Drosophila melanogaster: one gene and its partners. The protein of the gene in region 2 purifies or fractionates together with the protein of the main gene of each other region. This does not show direct contact. Each region holds a gene or a part of one and is shown on either strand. Other genes may lie near its edges.

Region 1 (6,714 bases), about 16 Mb from region 2:
TTGGTTCCGACTAGCAGTGCAAAAACGCGTAAGCGTAAGCCCGTTATCACAAAATCGATTTTTTCTTCCCAAGGGGCGGATAAGCTGCTCTTAGTCAGCCGTCGGCGGAGTCCTGCTGCCTAGCACCTGTGCACCTGCGACGAGACACTTGCTGGAGCCACTTACAGGTGAGCTTGGCGCATTGCGGCCCCTAATTTAGCTACTCTCGAATTTTAAAAAGCCTAAATTTGCTTTTTTGCTCGGTGGATAGTGTGACCGTTCGGATAACGATTAAAAATACCGTACGGCTGATGATTAAGTATACCACTAGGTAAAATGCGTTAAAATACCACATAAATTAATACCGTTAAATTAACGAACATTATTATTTTTTTAAAGTATAATTTTTTAAAATTCATTTGTCTATATTTATTCCTTTAACACTAAACGTGAAGAAAATTGTGTACTTTGAAACGGACGGTGCAGAACAGCAGTAGCTTATAAAAATGCAATGTTTCCGTTACCCTAACGGAACAGATAATGTTTAAAGTTTAAATTTTTAATTCTAATTCTTCTTTAATGAGTATATTTCCTGTATGGATCTCTAACTTAAGCTAGAACTTAGAGCAGACGAAGGCGGCAATTGGGGGCCCCGCACTGGCAGTACAACACCTTGCCGGGCACCACGCCCACCTCGTAATTGTAGTTCCAAGTCAGCTCGGTGCCGGAGCGGATGTGCGCGGCCGAGAAGAAGGCAACCCAGGGGAAACGCAGGTCGTGAGTATCCACGAACACGTTCTGCACGAAGAGATTGGGGCTGCACGAGTGCTGCGGGAGAAGAAGAGAATCAGCCACACGGCAAAATAACAAAAAACTTCCAACTCACGTTGAAATAGCGTCCAAGGTTGCCCGTTGTCTTGGCGTCCATGATGTAGGGCGCCTCGTCCTTGCCGAAAAGCCTCCGCACCGAGTTCTCCCGCACCGTCTCGTCCAGATCAGCATTTGGGTTAAAGTTGATCACCGCACGCTCCTGCGAGTCCAACTCGCTGCTCTGAGTGGAGCTGTTCTGCGTGGAGCCGCTTCTGGAAGAGCGCTTGATTTTGCGCTGGTAGTGATAGTTTGGCCGGAAGTCGTCATCGTCCTCGGCATCGGGTCCCCCGTTGTCCTCCTCGGCGTCCGGGTCCGAGTGGTCCACCTCCGACTCGTATCCCTCTTTTAACTGTTCAGCGACCTCTATGTAATCTAAGTCCGCGAAATACTCGTCGCCGGCGTCCTGTCCGCCTTCGTTGGCCATCGTCTCCGTGAGCAGATGGCCGGCGTAAATACAGATGAAAGCACCCTTGGGGATGTCGTTAACGCAGCGCAAGCCCCATCCACGATTTGAGGTCTTGAACACCTGCAGTTTCATCTCTAGGGAGAACTGCACCACCCGGTTCAGGCAATTCTTCTTGCACTTGCAGCGCGAGTTGCACTCGTAGATGCCGGTGGGCACGTGCTCGTGGAGCCGCTTGTACTGGTAGCCTATCTCCTCGATGGGTTTCTTCGGGTTACAGTACCGCACGCCCGCCACCGTTAGCTGCCAACAGGCGCACTTTGACTTGTCCTGATAGGGATACACAAAATAGTGGGCGGCTGGGTATAATTTGAGGTAATCAGATCTGTAAGACGTCTTACCGAGCAGTCGTCCTCGCAGTCGCAGCACAAGAGGAACTCCTCGTCCAGATTCAGATGAACACCCTCGGTAGGGATGCGCTGCTTCGCGTAGGTGCATGGGGGCGGCAGGGTGTTGTCGTAGTAGTTTACCAGCGGAATCGCCATCTTCTCCTGCCCCTTTGAAATGTCCGTGTCCTTCACGATCGAGGGATCAATGGAGTACTCGGCCAGACACTTGAGGTCGGGCGTAAAGTCAAAATTGTCTACGTTCAACACATTTTCAGTAGCTCGAAGGTACCTGTGAACTTCGGCCAGGCTGCGCAAGCTTTTGCCACAAGGTCCCTTGTATACCACAGACTTCTTGGTCTTCTGCCGCATGACAAGACGTTCCCAGCCAGAAAGCAGAGGCTTCGCTAACGGACTGTAGCTGTCCAGACGGTGAACGATCTTAAAGAGGCAGTTCGGGCTGCACTCGTGGCACTTGTACATTTTGGGAGGCAGATTCCGCTTGGCTGTAAAGTAGACTACATGGCCCTTGGGCCTGTTCTCGTCGTCCACGTAGATTGTCGAGTTGTTTAGGTGTCGCACAGCACTTGCGCTATTACTGGTGCTGACACCTCCTGCATTGGTGCGTCCTCCGGCTGGGGTTGCTGCCGAAGATGCAGCCGCTAATGCGTTATTTTGGGCGGAGGCGCTGCTCTTGCGGGCAAAGGCACGCATCTGCTGGTTCACCTTGCTGCTGGACTCCATCTCCTTGGTGTACCGAATAAAGGGCTCCGTGCGCTGAAAAAGAAAGACATTTTGTAGTTAGGACCGCAGGATGAATCGACACGATGCTTACTCTTGGGACACGCAGCTGCTGTGCGCTTGAACTGTTCATATTGTTCTGGGTTTCCCTGAAGACAGGACCCAAGCGCAATGAACCCCTGTATATCCACTCCGTATGGTTTTTGTCGCCCTCAAACTGCATCAACACCAAGCTGCAGTCGATGTCAATGACGCGCGCGTACAGCCAGGTCCCGTTCGATTCAGTGGTCATACTTTGTCCCCGGGTGCATTGCACCATTGGACGATCCACGGAGTACTTCTCCACGTACTTCTGTATGAAATCGCGCGATGCGGCGTGTACGTCCTCCCACACTTTCTCGGAAGCCTGGCAAACTAGACGGACATCGCGGTGCGGAACGTACTGAGTGTACCCATCGTCGTAGAATATTAGGTAGCGGTAGCGATTGGCCTGCTTCAACGGCTCAGCGATGATGCCTGGATAAAAGGCGCTCTGCACCACGCCCTTATCCTTGCCCCGCGACAAAGTGGTGCCATCGAAGTACGCAATCACGCGGGTACCTAGTGCACAATGAGTGGGTTAGTTTATAGATTGATAAATAACCGGTCTATTGGGAACTAACCAATGGTCAGTCGCACTGGCGGTGGTTCGAAGTAGGCAATGTGCTTGGCCGTCACTGTCTTGATCATCTGGTACGGAGTGTTGAGGTACCTAATCTTGTAGCTCTTCATCGTGTTTCCGTTGATGGCGGTGCTCTCTGTAAACTCGATTACCTTTATGGACACCCAGCTGGCAATAGCCTTGTTCTTAACAGCGTAGTATGTCTCTCCCAACTGTATTGGAGGACGCACGATTTCGCCAGGAGGTGGAACTTCATGCTGAGTAAATGGTTGTATTAAATCAGATCCAAACGGCATCACTTCTTACTTACCACATAGTCACTGGGTTCAATGTCCAGGGTGGGCAGATGTTTGTGTGCCACCGGACACGAGTTATACAAAGCGCAGTGCATTTTGTCAGCGGTGGTCTGAACTTTTTCGAGTTCCACATCTGCCAGTGCGAATTGTCGCTCCAAGTGGTCTGCTTTCGCCTGGAGAATAGTTTTTGACCAGGACAGCTGAGCCGTAAAATCCACCTTGTTAAGTACATTTTTGATGGCATCATCGAGTTCATCTTCGATGAGCTGCAGCTTGTTTTTCGAAAAGTCCGATTTTTCTGTGCGGATAAAATATATTTAGTACGTTTTTTTTTTTGCTATTGTTTATTTATCATGATAGCAGTCTCACCTGGCTGCTTCTCCTCTTCCTCCTCATCGCTGCTGTCCAGAGCCACAAAGTCGGCGTGATCCTGATGGAAATCCTTTAGCAGCAGCGGCTGCTTGGCCATTAGTTGTCCAGCATACTCCTAAATAAAGAAATACGTTCTAAGTTTCCCTCTTAAGTTAATAAATATGCTAGTTGACCTCATACAAGTCCATTGCTGTGTCATGGCATCCCATGCAGAGGAACTGCTGCTTGGAAGACTTTCGGAGCACCTGGTAAAAGTTTAAAGTGGCCATGTTAGCCAACACGTACTGTTTATGAAGCTTTGTGCAATTGCAGTTGACACATTCCTTGTCGTAGAAGACATCTCCATCTGATAACAAAGCGTTCAGCTTCTCGTCTTCTGCAGCTTTCGGAGCAGTGCCCTTTTCAAGCTCCACCTCTAGGACATCGTCTTTTTTATCAACAATTTTGTGTTCTTCGATTTCCGTTAAGCTAATACGCTTGTGACCTTTTAATGTATTCTCAATTTTGTATTCTTCTGCTGGTCGACTTATTGACTCCTCGACGTCCTGATCTACCTCCATGCCAGGAGGTTCTTGCTCATTTTCCTTATTGGTCTTTTCATCTTTTTCAGGAAAACTTTCGGATGTGGGACTGCTGATGCTGCTATCAGTCATTTCCTCGGCCTCTTTAGCCGCAGCTTCATTGACAGCATCTGGTTTTGGCGGATCTTTCTCACTTTCGTTGGCGGAGGAGAATTTGACAGGACTCTCTATTAGCTCAACACTGCTGTCCGAATCCACAGCTACCAAAACCGGGCTGCTTGCAATGGCTTTCGTGTTCTCTCCCTTGCGGTCCTCCGATTCGTCGGCCAACTTTCCAGGTTCATCAGGGGCCTTACCTCCATATGGGCACTGCTTCCTGGTTGAACCGGTGGCGGCGATTGCTTCACTGTGTGTCAGTTCCTCAATTTCCACATCCTTTGCGGCTTGTTCTGCAGGAGACTCCAAGCTATTTTCTCCTTTGCGCACCGGCAACCCGTAACTTTTTTCCCTCGACGCCGGTGTTTCTTGGACATCCTCCACTGTGCTTCCACTGCTCTCTAAGCAGTCCACGGCTGTTGGCTGCCCAGACATAGTTTTAATGAGTTTACTTAACTTTACACATTAATGCAAATTTGCGAGACAAGCGATAACATTGTATAAAATTTCGCTCGTAATTTGCCAGCCCTAGATTTTAGTGGCAGAAAGAAGAAGAGTGTCTATTCACACAAAAGAAAAAGAACGGAAATTCAAAATGTTCGCTGCTGCAATGGATTTAATTTTTTATTTCGGTCTTCGGGAGTGGGTCCTGTTCATTAGGCCTCGACGACCTTTGGGTGGTAGCCGGTTTCATCGGCGGTGTAGACCACTTTGACGGTCTTGCCGTTGGGGGCCACGTACTCGTACTCCCCGGAAACCACCCAGTTGTCGTGCTCCTTCAAGGCTCCAGTTTGCACGGCGCGAATATGGTTGGATAGCTCATAAGCGTAGTTAAAGTCCAGCAAGTTAACCTCGGAGTCGCTCTTTACAACATCAGCCTCCTCGTTGGCGAAGACCACGGCCAAAAGGCAGGCAAGAACGATCTAAAAGACAAATCGTTGTTCAGAGGTCCCCAAAATCTAATTTCGATGCCACTTACCACAAACTTCATGGTTGGAAAGGGGATGTGTGTGCTGATAGATAGCGATAAAATTTTGACTGCTGGTTGCCGAAAATTGCGCTTTTATATGTAGCTCTCCACTGACATTTTACCGGCCGGAATCACCAACTGCATAAATTTTCTTCATAACTGGCTCCCAGCGGTCGTTTGTCTTAATTAAACAAAAGACATAGATGCAGTCATTCTGCAGGCATTAATTATCGCCCCACTCGGCATATCATATTCGGGGGGTTATCTTTGGAGATCTGTGCGGAAGATTCCCAAAACAACCACGTTCATCAATTGTCAGCACCGCACGATTAATTTTTAGCTGATAAGAGCTAACCGGTTCCTTCGATGCTAACGCCGATTAGCATTATTTTCGCATAACTCCATTAGCAGTCTGATTTTGCTCCCGCAGTTGCAACCGGTTTCTAACAAGCTGCGATTGCAATATGGCCTGGGATTTGAATTTCTTGGCGCGCAATTAGCCAGTGCTGGAAAATGTCTGGGACCGCACAGATTTGCCATTCAGAGGGAATCCCACGTGGTGGTGTCTGCGTATCGGTGTGCACTGCAATCTCCCCCAGAAATATCACGATGGCCAGTGATTCTGGCAGCGATTATGAGGTGGAGGCTTTCTTCAATCCCAAGCGAGTTCAACGCACAGTCAACGACGACAGTGCGGATCTATTGGGAAACTTCGATGACCAGAAGCGAAGGGAGATCTTCGAGGGCACGTATGTGGACAAGGAGGACGGACGGAATCCCAGTGACCCGGAGGATAGTAAGAGCGAGGATGAGGCCAAGTCCGACGACGAGGCAGCCGCTGAGGGCAGTGCTGCTTCCGGAGCCGAGGAAGAGGAATCTGCGGAAAATGGGCAGATAACCAGTGACCAGCTGAGTTCACTGCTTCGAGGAGCCTCCAAAACCAACAGACACGTCCTGTACGTGACGAACCTGAACTTCGAAACCACAAAGGACGACCTGGAGCTGCACTTCTCTGCGGCAGGCACGGTCAAGTCTATCCGCATTCCCAAGAAGCGACGAGGGGGCTTCGCCTTTGTGGAAATGGCCGACCTAAGCAGTTTCCAGAATGCCTTCCAGCTGCACAACACAGAGCTGCAGGGACGCAACATCAAGGTGCAGATCTCCGAGGCGGGCAAGAAGAAGTCGGCCAACAAGAAGAACATCATCAAACAGAAGAACCGAAAGCTGGCCGAGATGCGCAACGAGCAGAAGACCTTCACGAAGAGCGGCAAGTTTTACGACAAGGACCTGAAAAAGGAGAAGGCCAAGGAAATGCTGGCGCGAAAGCGGTGGCGCAAAAAGCCCGCCCCCAGACCCACA
Region 2 (7,142 bases):
TTGATAAAAACGGCTTCGATTGCTTTCAATACTATGGACCTTTAATGCCATATGCCATTCCGCCCTGTCTTGCAACGTAACTTAAATGCGAGGACTGCAACACCCTCCAACTGCACACAGCACCGCCTCCAATCCGTACAGAATCCGTAGTTTAACTAAAATAACTTAACTACTTTAAATTTTGGTGCCGCGACTGGCCGCCGCCTGGCATGCATCCTTTCATTTCGCTTTCCTCATAGTGTTCATTGCGCTGACCGCTTCAATGGAAAATAAATTAATTGCGTTTCCTATAGTAATTGCTAATTAATGCTGGTGCTAGTTTGTGTATTTGCAATATCTAGGAATATTTCAGTTGCTGTGTGGTGTGGCGTGTGTTGCTGAGAGCGCTGGCAAAGCGTAACACAACTAACTACTCGAGACGACACGAATAAAAGACACGGGACGTAAGCAAAGTGTTTTGGTGTGAGCCAACTGAAAAAAGGGGCAGCAACAATCTGGCCGATGGGGGAGCACATGGATTCATTCGGGAACAGGGGACCCTCTCCTACAAAACCTGTCTGTTATGCCTGCGTCCTGCAACACAAGAATTACAAGCATCAGTTGGTGGCTCGCGATTGATAGAGTATGAATAATGAGGTGATGCAAGGCGGCGAATCGAACGCCGAAGAATAGCCTCTAAGGTAATATGTGGCCGTGCGCCACCGGAAGTGAAACCGAAAACAGAAACTGGACGGGCCAATATAGGGACCATAACAGTAAGAGACCGCGAGCCGCGAGATGTGCGATTAATGTGTGTGGGATGTGGGTCCTGCCTACGGGCCGGCATTCTGGCTCTGGCCGGAGGACGCCGTGGCAGCTGCAGCAGCCGCAACCGCAGCCAGATCCAACAGTTGGAAGTGCTTTTGATCCGCGACCGCAGCAGCCAGGGATTCCAGGAGGGAGGCATGGACGGCTGCCGTCGCTGGCTGCTCGTGCTGTTGCTGCTGCAGTTGCTGCTCTGAGACTGTCTGCTTCTCTGGCGATTGGCGGCTGGCCTGCTGTTCTGGGGATTCTACGAGTTGCATCGGCGGCAGCATGGACGGGTCACACAAAAAGATCAGGGGAAGAAGAGAAAGAGAGAGAGAGAAAGAAAAAAGACAAAGAAATGCACAAGTTACTTGAATTAGTTTAGTTATTATCATCATATAACCTTGGGTTTAGGTTAACACAACAACAATCGGAAAAGAGGCTCTCAACAAAAACCTTCACTAACAAACTGGCATGATTTATTAAAATTATCACTTAAAATAAGAGTACATATCGTGAAATAATTTAGATTCGGTGACAACAGAAAATACATTGAAAATGAATTAGGACAAATGGTGGTATAAAACCGAAAAATACTCTATTAACTTTGCTTAGCCGACGTTTGGGCGCCTTGAGCTCTCTGGCTTGGGTTTTCTGTAAGAATGTTCTGATTAAGTATGGGATTCTTGTTCCAAACCCGAACCATTTCACAATCGATCGACGGAAAACATACCGTGGGCGCAGCCAAACTCCTAAATGAACACGCTTGTAAAGCTCCTCCGCTTTCTGAGGTTTTTTAAAAACATTACCACCTACAATACAAGCAACGAAAGCGGATAGAGTCAATTTATAGCCTACTTAGTCTATACAAGTTTTGGCTAGGGGATTTTACGAAATCTACGGAAACCTTTTCGATGCTGGACTCCGTAGATCTAACACAAAATTATCATGATAAATAGCCCTTCTGGTCACTTTTTTGAAACATAAACATATGTTTGTACATACTACACGTAAAATTGGGTTAATTTTAACTGGGTGTACTCATACTAAAATCAAATGATGCACTAAAGTCATAAGCGGAATCGGGGACCTAATTATATTTGAATAACAATAAGTGATGATGAAGTCAGAATCATATGTAACATATATGTAATTTTCATTTTGGACAATGTGAATACTCTTTCGAACTTTTGCAGTTAAAATTTTCTAATATTATTTAAGACAATTGATGCACCAAAAAAATACTTTTACGTTAAATGATGTCCTAGAGGTGTGCCGTAAAAGGTGAACCGAAACCTAAATGCTTGATCTTGTTAGGATTTCATTCCTTTGTCTAAATTATTGGTGCCGAAGCGTGGTTGAGTCAGTGTGGATGTATGTAAATGGGATGTGTATGGATTCTTATAACTACTTTACCCTAGGGTCTACAATTAGCAATTTGTAAACATAAAGATTTCTTGGCTATACAGAGATATAATTCTCGTTACTGGCTTATTGCAAAAAGGGATCCAACGTACCGGATTGCTGGGGCTGCTGTGCCGGGGTATAGGCACGTTGGCCGCCACCGCTGCCGTTCGACGTGGAACTGGCGACGGCTTGCTTGGCGGGCGGACGACGCTTAGCCAGCGGCATGTCGTCGTCTGAATCGCTTAACGTTAGGTCAACCTGTTGCGCAGACAGAATACAGTCATATGATAAGACAGTTTGGTAGGTTGTAGATTGGTGCTCTCTACTTACAGTTTCACTGTTTGACGTTGATGTGGGCTGTTCGTCCTGTGCTGGGGACAAATCCCTCTTTACTGGCTTGGCGTCATCCGAGATAAGTTCTGGTAATGTCCGAAAAACTTGATTAATGTCAAAACAATTTAAAAGGTTGCGTGTTAGGCGATTACCTATGTCATCCGATATAACCTCAACCTTTTGGGCGGGCTTTGAAGGCGTATCAAGGATCTGCGTCTCGCTCCGTAGTCCTGGTGTGCTCCAAGATCCATCCTGATGAAGTTGAATCTCAGTATCATCACTCTTTAGAAGCGACGAGCCCAACACCTCCTGGAAGTAGCTGGAAAACAGAGTTTAATCAGTTACAAATATGCTAAATGAAATGACATTTCTTACCCATCTATGACCAGGTTGTCATAAATGGCCGGCTTGTCGCATACAGGGCAGTTCCACGTGGGCTTACGCTCATTCATTTGCAGGTAGAGACTGGCATCGAAGCATTGCAGATGCGAGCAGGTTGATGCTCGACAAGGCAGCAACATTTTCATCTTGCCCAACGGGCAGTTAAGGGAAACCTTCAGCATAGTGGTGGCTATTTCGCAGTCAGCATCCTCAGTCAGCTTCTCTTTGACTTTAAAAAAATGGTATTTATTATTAAGTTTGCATCATTGGAGCACAGAAAACTCACTTAAGCCTCGCGTGTAGTCCGCTGGTTTTACGCCCTTCGTCTTCATTCGCTGCAAAAGCTGTGTTGAGGTGAGCTTCTTTACCAGGTATACGGCCAGACAGTAGCTACGAGTGTAGTCCGGACACCACTGAACCGTTATGGTGTTGGTGACGGTAGGCGACAGCTTTACATTGGACGTGACATTAACGGGTCGCGGCGGACGCTTGGGCTCCACATTTGGTCGGTTTGTAGGAATGACATTCTGCATTGGAATAAAGAGCAGGATATTATACCAGGTCCTGATTGGATAATCGGATAATACTTACAGGCAGCTGACAGAGTTTGTTGTTCACTTTGACGTTTACGTTCGGCGGGAAGCAGTCCTCCTGGTCGCACGAAGTCTCCACCAGGCAAAAGCGCAGTTGAACCTGAATGGCGTGCTCCACCTTGGAGCTGTTGCGAATGTCGCGATTAGAGGCAATCTCGGTGGCCTGCTGCGGCGTGAGCGTGAAGTAGAAAGGCACCTCTTGGACGCGCTGAGTGTTGCGTGGCACCAGAGTTGAAGGCTTAATTAGCGTTCCGAGTACATCGTAGAAGGCTAGCTTTTTCAGCCGCACATCGGGGTGAATAGGCAGCTGGCTGTTGATGCTGTGTGTGTGGAGGAAGGGTGCGCCGCCGACCACATTCATCTGGCCGCCGGGCACTTGCACACCTTGGCCGCTGCCCACGAGGCCCACGGGATTGGGCTGCACGGTGGGCGGCAGCTGGATGTGCGAGTACATCCTGGTTGGGTCGATGTACTGCAGCGTGGCGTTTTGTTCCTGCACGGACTGGGCGTAGACTTCCTGGACCTTCGGGGCAAGCAGTTCCAAGTTGGTGCGCAAGAACGAGAGGATGCGGCTCTGCAGGTCAGTTTTTCGTCCAGCGAATGAGATGTTCAGAAACGACAGGATTTTTTGCAGCTCGACCACTCGAAGCATCTGCACCATTTGCTCACATTCCTGAAGAGACGGAAATGGCATGGCGAACAATGAAAATTTTGTATTTCGGAAAATTGGGAAGGTGTCTATGTCCAAATAGCGGGACTTAGCACCAAGCGTCCACACGAACACACACACAAGCGCGCTCTATATGCAAATATCGCGTTTTCGCACATATGTACACATGCGTATGCCTTGTGCGGCTTTATGCAGAAAAAATCATAAATTCGCTCTACATTATATGCCAAGTGATTGCTTGACAGTCGGACAAAAGCCTGGCTTCCACATTTTTCCCATCTGTGGATAATTTACTGGTCCGAAACTGCCGCATGCCACCAAATCATTACCTAGATGCTCAAACATGGCGTTCTCGCAAAAAGTTTCTTTTCGTGGAACCGATCGGGTTTCAGTGGCTTTTAACGTTGGTATATGCAGAAAATTTGGTAAGGCTTGTGTTCGCCACTGGCAGCCTTCCTTCTTTCGCAAATTGCACTTAAACAAACTACCGCAAAAATGCCCCCTTTTTTGTCACACGAATTTTGTTTTGTCCGCACGGTCTGAAGAAATATGGCGGATGATAGTGTTGTTAAGCGCCGGCGGATTTGGCTGGCAAATCACTCTGTTCGTGGGTGGGGAAGGGTACAGACACCATTTTTTTCTGCGGTCACACTGCTTATCAATAACCATGGCCCCCATATTTATGAAAAATTCTTTGGACTGAATAAACTGAGACTGGCGGAAACATACCTTGTACTTGGTGGAATCAAAGGGATTAACTGCTATTGGCGCTGACGAAGTCGACTGGTGCCCGGGGCTCGAAGATGTTGCGGCATTTTCCGCCTGCGTGCGAGCCGTCTGAGAGCGGGTCTTTCGCATCACTATTATTTTCTATTCACGGTGGCGTTAGGCGTTCGGCAATTGAAGTCGCGGACTCGTTTGCATTTGCCTGGGACGCGCACCACACATAAAAACAAGCAATTGCCGCTGTTTTTCAACGAATGCGGAGAAACAAAAATATTTTACGCGGCGTCGTCGCTGTGGGCCGACTAGAGTTGACACTATCGATCGACACTGCGGAAATCTCTACCGCCTGGCCGAGTCTTGTCTCACGCAGCCCGAAAATGCCCTAACGCGTGCGTTTGTTTACTTTGTTAGCAACCGTTACTTTCGTAGATTCCTAATTCGCTAGGCATTTATTTAATTGTACAAATATGGGTCTATCTATGCAAGAATAGTATAAAAGGGGCCCGCCGCTTGGCGTGGGCCTAGAAAAAGTCCATGTCCCCGCAATTGACGTCCAGAAAGTCGTGGTCGTAGCTGATTAAATCCTTCAGCGGCGCTCCCTGAGCCGCCGCCGCTGCTTTGGATGTGGAGGGAAGTTCCGCATTGTCCACAAGATTTATATTGATCTCGTGGGTCCTGTACTCAGGGCTGTCGTGCTCCTGCTCAGCGCCAACAGGGGAGGGTGGCGGGTTGGACACTGAAATAGTCAAAATAGTCACATAGGAGATTTAACAATAATAATGGGATCTTCTTACAGCTGCCCGGTTGCTTATCTTCACTTTGCTCGTCGCCCTGCATGTAGTACTCTTTGCGCTGATTTAACGTCGGCAGTTCCGTAACCTGCTTGCTGAGGCACTTCTTCAACTCTTCCACCTTACGGTCCCGCATCAACGTTTCGATCTGCTTTCGAGACTTGCTCAGACTCTGGCGATCCTCACTAAAAATGCGCTTCTGCTGCTCCTGAGTGATGTTATCGTGGTGCTTTATTAGGAACAGGAATACCCCGCCTGGTGTACGTCTCCGTATGCCGTTCTGTTTCGAGGTATCGTGTTAGTATATTCGGGGGAACATCCTTTACTACTTACTTTGATCATCATGCCGCCATCGGCTTCAATGCGCTGAGTTTCCTTGTATAGCTCTAGGCACACATCTATGCCAAGAACCTCCACGACTCGAACTGGTAAAACTGGCATTATTTACTAAGTAGGGCATTATTTATTTCACATACTCACCAAGTAATTCGTCCTTTTCCTCGTACAGTTTGCTGGCCATTTCGGTAGCCACATCCGAAGGATCTCTCTCACCCACTTCGTTTAAGTCCAGAATGTGTCTGGGCTCGCAGAAATCGGAAGATCCGCTGGCCGAAGATGTCCCACGACGTGACCGGTGACCCGTTCTACTCTTGACCAAACCGCGCTGTTGATTCCCGGTGATGGGCCGACTAGAAGGTCTTCCCCTCTTGTGAGCTGGATGGGAGCATTCGCCGCCGTCCTCCGAAGAGTTTGAGAGTCGTCGCTTTAGAGTGTTCTCGCCGTTCAGCCGGTATCGCAATGAGAAGTCGTAGTTTTCAACATTTCGATCCCGACCGCTTCGGGTAACGTCGCAGCCACGCATATTCTCGCTGAGCGCATCCTCTTGCAGGGCAGAAGCCCACACGTTGTACTTCTTGAAACGGGCTCGATTCGGTTGCATTTCAGCATCCGTGGGCGGAACGCGCCGCATTACCGTGCGCCGAATGCGCTTTTTCCGCTTCTTGTGGCCGTCGGGTCCGGTGGATTCCGTACGAAGCTTCTTGATGCACCCGTCCTCGGAGGATTCGGCAGTCGAGGAGTCGCTGTTGCTTTGTGACTCGTCCTCTAACGCAGTCTGGATCTGATGGCAGGTGGTAAGGGGACTGGCCACCTTCTCCGCACCGTCAGGTCGCTGCAACGGCGTGTAAACGCCATCATCGTCGCTCTCCGATAGCTGAAAGGCCGGCAGATATGGTCATTAGATGCTCGGTAGTCTGGGTGCTTATGATTACCTCGCCGTCCTCCAGGTCAACGTCATTTGCGTGCAGTTCCATCATTTTTTTTATGGCGAGTCGAGAGAAAATCTTCGCCCAAAGTGCAGCTGTTTGTGCAACACTGAGCGGCAGAGTGACCATACTTACTGAGGATTACTTGGTGCATAGTTAAATTATTATGTTTATATTATTGGTCTTTAAT
Region 3 (4,644 bases), on a different chromosome or scaffold from region 2:
AACTTTATGTTATACATACACGTGACCCTTTTCGATATCGAGTAAATTAGCCAATTCATATTTTCCAGTGCAAATTTACAAAGTTAAGCGGAAATTACTGTGGCAGTTGGGTCTTAATATCTTAGAGGTGAAGTCAATTGAATCGAAAGTAAAGATACAAGATACTAATTTAAGAGATTGATCGCATGTATCAAAAAGGACTTTACCACATTTCTTCTAATCAAGTGATTAAATTATAAGATATTAGGTATCAGAGTTTAGATAATCCTGTTGTCCGAGGACTTTCTCTAGCAGATTTCGGACTTTGATCAAGATTTAAGATCAATCTGTATTGGGATTGAATATCAAACCCAACTAAGAACTCACAATTGAAATGGAAAAATGTAACATTAGATACATTAAAAAAAAGAAGAAAATAACATAAAATTTCACCACAAATATTCGGTTTTGAGTCACTAATATTTTTCCAAGTAGTATGATTCACGTAAAGTACATTACGTGATAATAATAAATATAATTAGTATGCTAATAATTTACTTAAAACGTGTAACACTTATTTAAAAAACATAAATTTGGAAAAGCTTTAGGAAAAAATCATGTTGTAGGAATCTAAGGGATCTTTAAAGAATTCTATAATTATTTTTACGATCGACGTGTCAAAACCATGATCTAATCTCAATGATTCATTTCTAAATAACAATAAATCAGCAATACATGCATATGTTTAATGCAAAAACTCAAATATATACTATATCATATCAACTTGAGTATACAGTTTAGTTCTTTGGTGAAAAATCTACAATCTATGATGACAGCGTCATTGCGAGTTGGATTTTAACACATACATATGGAAACCCCATTATTAAACTCATAAATTCACATGGCAACAAAGAAATACAAAGCATAGTTAACAATCATTTGCTGTTTTTGACCTGAATTTCTCACCTTAATCATTCGCTGCAGGTTAACTTGGTTGGTTCAACTTATAGCCAGATAACTAAGGTGTGATCTTCAATCCTCGGCAGTCTCGTCCTCCTCGTCCTCGTTGAAGGACAGCTTACTACTGGCGGCCTTGGACTTCTTGCTCTTGGATGTGCTGGATTTTTCGGACTTCTTGTTGGTTTCAGATTGGGACTCTTTTTTCTCGATGTTGGGCTGCTTGACACAGTGTTTGAAGACTATTGGCTGCGTCAGATCCGCTCGCTTTTCGGCTAATTCTGGAAGATTGAAAATGGGAGTTAGTTATGGGTCAGCAATCATCTGTACTTATTATGATCGTAGTAAAGCGTGTAAGTAAACACCTATTTACAAGTTAAATGGAGTATTTAAGTTATATAAACTATCTTAGAATGAAAAATATTTTGGGGAAAGTAGTATGCACAAATTTAGGGAGAAAAATGCCAATACATATATCAAAGCTGATATAAATAAAATAAATTTAAAAATTGCATTAACTAAAAGGAATACAAGAAAGTTTTTGAAAATTGATCTGCTTATAAAATTGCCAGGAAGGTGACTAATATGCCAGCAATTCATTATTGGATTGGAAAATGTATCTGGGTTTTAAAAACTGCAGCATGACAAATGGGGAGGAGGGAGGTGTAAATCAGAACAAGCCACCCACCGACCCCCCCCTTTTCCAAGCAGCACCCACAAGATGTTTTTCTCGGCCCTGGGAAGCCCCTTCTCGCCCGACGCTCCCGCTTCACTCCCCCTCCCGCTCCACCCACTGATTCGCAACCCGCCCCCGCTGTTCCGCCAGCCCCTTCTTCAACGCCTACCCCCTCCCCGCAGCGCCTTTGCCACCGCCACCACGTCGTCAAGCCACTTTGGCCCGCTCTTTTCCTCTTTGCTCGCCTGCTTCGTTCATCATTGTCTCTCCGCTTTGCCCGCCTCCTTCATCCGTTCGTTCTTGCACACGTTGTTTTCACCCGATTTTCTGCGCTCTTCCAAGTGGGGCTGAAAGGGGCAGGGGGGCGAGCGGAAGAGGCGGACAAAGCGAGCGGCGGCAGCTGCTGTTGTTAACTTCTTTGCCGGCTGCTTTATCGCCGCGCCCGCTTTGCCAACGATTTTCATCACATGCTCTGCTTTGGCGGAGCCCCCAATGAAAATGTCAGTGTGTATGCCTCGTCGGCTAGCTGCTGCGGGTGTGTGTGTCTGTGTGAGGGGTGCTCCGCTGGGCAAAAAAGGGAATCTTTAGGACGGAAATGACCAAGATTGCCATGGCAACATAGGGCTTTAAAAAGATTGAAAAACCGAAGGTGCTTTTCGAAAAAAAAAACACATACTTCTTGCAACAAACTGCTGTTTTCGCACTACCGTTAGATTTTCATTTGGCAAAAATGCACAAGCACACGCGCGCACTCATACATAAGCAACGGTATATACGCAGTTATGTATATATACATATATGATTTAGATATATGTAACGCCGGGCAGAAGAAGACAACCGCTCGATTCTGACTGAAAAGTTAAACTGAAAGACAAACTACAACATCCTACCTACGCACACACGTGCAACTGCCGCCGCCGCCACCGTGGGCTATATGCATGTGTGTGTGCGTGTGCGAGCGTGTAAGTATGTATGTACTACAGCGATATGTATGTATGTATGCTTGTACATATGTACCGACCTTTGGAGGCCAACAGTTTCTCCGTTTTGGCCTCTTCGGCGGATAGATCTCCCGGCCTAAGGACGACCACCTGCGGCTGTTCGTCCTCCCGTGAATCTTCCTCAGAATCGTAGTCCTCCTGGTCCTGCGGATCCAATCGCTGACGCTAACCAATGGTTATATATCCGCATTAGAATGCTGCAGAGGCCTTCCCCGTAGAACTCACCTTGGTCTCTACGGTGGGTCCCTCCTTGTAGCCAATTTCAGCCTTCAACTTGGCCAGAAAACTAGGTTCTTGCGGCTTTACGTACGTTATGTTGCGCTTGGACATATCAGATATGGCGGCTATATCATTGCACTTCTTGACCGATTTAGCAGCGGTTTTTGCACTTTTTATTTACCACAAATGTCGATAAGAAAAACATATGCTTATCGAGCAGTGTGGGAAAGCGCGCGTTGACAATACTAAATCGATTTCAACTGCTATACTTTAAAGTAACGTAAGACAATTGTAAATCCAGTTTTAATAGTTATAATGTTAAAGTTTAAGCTTGCTCTTTTAATATTATTAGTCCCAATTTTTGAGTCCTTGATATTTATCGATAGCACCGATAAGTAACAGCTGTACTGCCGTGTGCATAGTGCTGCCTGAAAACCAATTGTAGATGGGCAGCACTGTTAGGCAAAAGCGGTTACTTTTTGAAAATGCTTACTGTTGATAAAGAGTTAATATTTCTTAAAAATTTCTATAAATATATAATATTTATCCTATTATTTTTGATGCATTTCTTTAAGTATCTTAAGTTCCCATTTCCAACTGGCATTTCCGCTGAGAAAACCGATTGCCCCGAGACGTGCCATCAATTTGCGAATCCTCGCTGCCAATCAAAAAATGGGCGCATAAAACTGTCGCATAACTTGCAAATTTTCCGCTTCACCTGGAATTCCGTGCTCCAAAACAGAAATTTGATCGCTTCTGACAGCAAAACAATACACAGCGGCATTCATCAACGTCAGTGGCTTCCATTTGCAATGTCGTATGCACAGACTCCTCCTCGATTGAAGCCCCCTATTCGTTCCTGGGAACATAATAAATCATCTGCAAATTGATTTCAAAACTTCGACAGCTAACCAAAAAAGAGCTGCCGAAAAAAAAAGGCAAATGAAAACTGCAGCAAAGCGGAGAAATTTTATGAGCTGCAGCATATGTTGGCAAAAACACAAATAGGATGCACTGAGAAAACAGCGTTTCATATATTTAGTTTAGTTATAAATAAAATACGTGAGAGGAGCTAAACAAAAGTTTTTTTTTTTTGGTTTTTTTTTTGCATAAACCCAAACAAATATCTGTAGACTGACAGATAGAGAAGAATTAAATTAGTGTCATATCCAGTGAAAAATATGACAATAAAACATAAATTTATATTTCAAATATATTCCTTTTGTTTTTCCGTGAACGAATTCCCCATGAAAAACTCCGATTTCTGCATTCTGGCACGCGGCAGCAGCTTTTCCCCCGAAGGATTTTCGTCGGTCCCCGAACTAATATCAAATTGATAGCTTTTAAATTTGATTTCGCGTCTTATCACCGACCGCTTAAGCGAACAGTTTCGGAGCTGCAGCCCCCAATCGCTACGCAATCCACAGCGATGGTTGGAAAAACAAATGGAGTGTGGCCGGGTGGAGGGAGCACCCCCTCATGCATTAAAAATGAGGATGGCAGGGCATTTGATGCTGTGCAAGTGCAACGTGGCGTATGCTTGTTGTGTTTTGTTTTGCTCGCTTTGCGTCCGCATTGAAAATACATTGAAAATGCCGGTGCAACACAAGTGTTTCGGCCTTGATACGGATACGATGCTATATGCTGGATATAGAGTCATCCATCCGACCGTCCCATTCAGAATCCATAGGCTTCAAGTCACATGCCGGCCAACTAATATCGAGCACTCTTGAGAACGCAGAGCCTCAGGAAAATGTTATCACAGTCTGCATCCGGCACGGAGTCCTCCGCCTCTGCCGAAGTGCAACTCGG

Evidence for each region. Proteins that work in one complex are often made in the same cells at the same time.
Region 1: the proteins of Su(var)2-10 (region 2) and egg purify together in Drosophila melanogaster (affinity purification with western blotting; 2 studies listed by BioGRID). This does not show direct contact.
Region 3: the proteins of Su(var)2-10 (region 2) and MEP-1 purify together in Drosophila melanogaster (affinity purification with western blotting; one study listed by BioGRID). This does not show direct contact.

What each region holds. Positions count from the first base shown.
Region 1 is NT_033778.4:24,774,994-24,781,707, forward strand, and holds egg (eggless), read right to left. Parts: upstream 4,909-6,714; 5' UTR 4,821-4,908; coding exon 3,882-4,820; intron 3,824-3,881; coding exon 3,706-3,823; intron 3,635-3,705; coding exon 3,351-3,634; intron 3,298-3,350; coding exon 3,042-3,297; intron 2,980-3,041; coding exon 2,474-2,979; intron 2,416-2,473; coding exon 1,654-2,415; intron 1,583-1,653; coding exon 866-1,582; intron 808-865; coding exon 601-807; 3' UTR 541-600; downstream 1-540. Other genes in the region: Lcp9 (larval cuticle protein 9), read right to left, coding at 5,042-5,308, 5,365-5,376; CG3594 (uncharacterized protein), read left to right, coding at 5,965-6,714. UniProt on the Drosophila melanogaster protein: Histone methyltransferase that specifically trimethylates 'Lys-10' of histone H3 (H3K9me3) in ovary. H3K9me3 represents a specific tag for epigenetic transcriptional repression by recruiting Su(var)205/HP1 to methylated histones.
Region 2 is NT_033778.4:9,114,209-9,121,350, reverse strand, and holds Su(var)2-10 (suppressor of variegation 2-10), read right to left. Parts: upstream 5,230-7,142; 5' UTR 5,029-5,229; coding exon 4,900-5,028; intron 4,734-4,899; exon of another isoform or gene 4,195-4,733; coding exon of another isoform or gene 4,174-4,194; coding exon 3,499-4,173; intron 3,435-3,498; coding exon 3,194-3,434; intron 3,137-3,193; coding exon 2,902-3,136; intron 2,846-2,901; coding exon 2,679-2,845; intron 2,613-2,678; coding exon 2,524-2,612; intron 2,464-2,523; coding exon of another isoform or gene 2,452-2,463; coding exon 2,304-2,451; coding exon of another isoform or gene 2,278-2,303; exon of another isoform or gene 1,599-2,277; coding exon of another isoform or gene 1,520-1,598; exon of another isoform or gene 1,441-1,519; coding exon of another isoform or gene 1,398-1,440; exon of another isoform or gene 1,246-1,397; intron 1,052-1,245; coding exon 813-1,051; 3' UTR 574-812; coding exon of another isoform or gene 545-573; 3' UTR 535-544; downstream 1-534. Other genes in the region: Phax (phosphorylated adaptor for RNA export), read right to left, coding at 5,418-5,632, 5,691-5,967, 6,021-6,112, 6,168-6,900, 6,959-7,003.
Region 3 is NT_037436.4:2,630,111-2,634,754, reverse strand, and holds the start of MEP-1 (MEP-1), read right to left. Parts: upstream 3,041-4,644; 5' UTR 2,944-3,040; coding exon of another isoform or gene 2,839-2,943; exon of another isoform or gene 2,779-2,838; coding exon of another isoform or gene 2,634-2,778; intron 2,481-2,633; exon of another isoform or gene 2,289-2,480; intron 1,218-2,288; coding exon of another isoform or gene 1,012-1,217; 5' UTR 946-1,011; intron 1-945. Other genes in the region: CG42245 (uncharacterized protein), read right to left, coding at 1,012-1,217, 2,634-2,778, 2,839-2,943.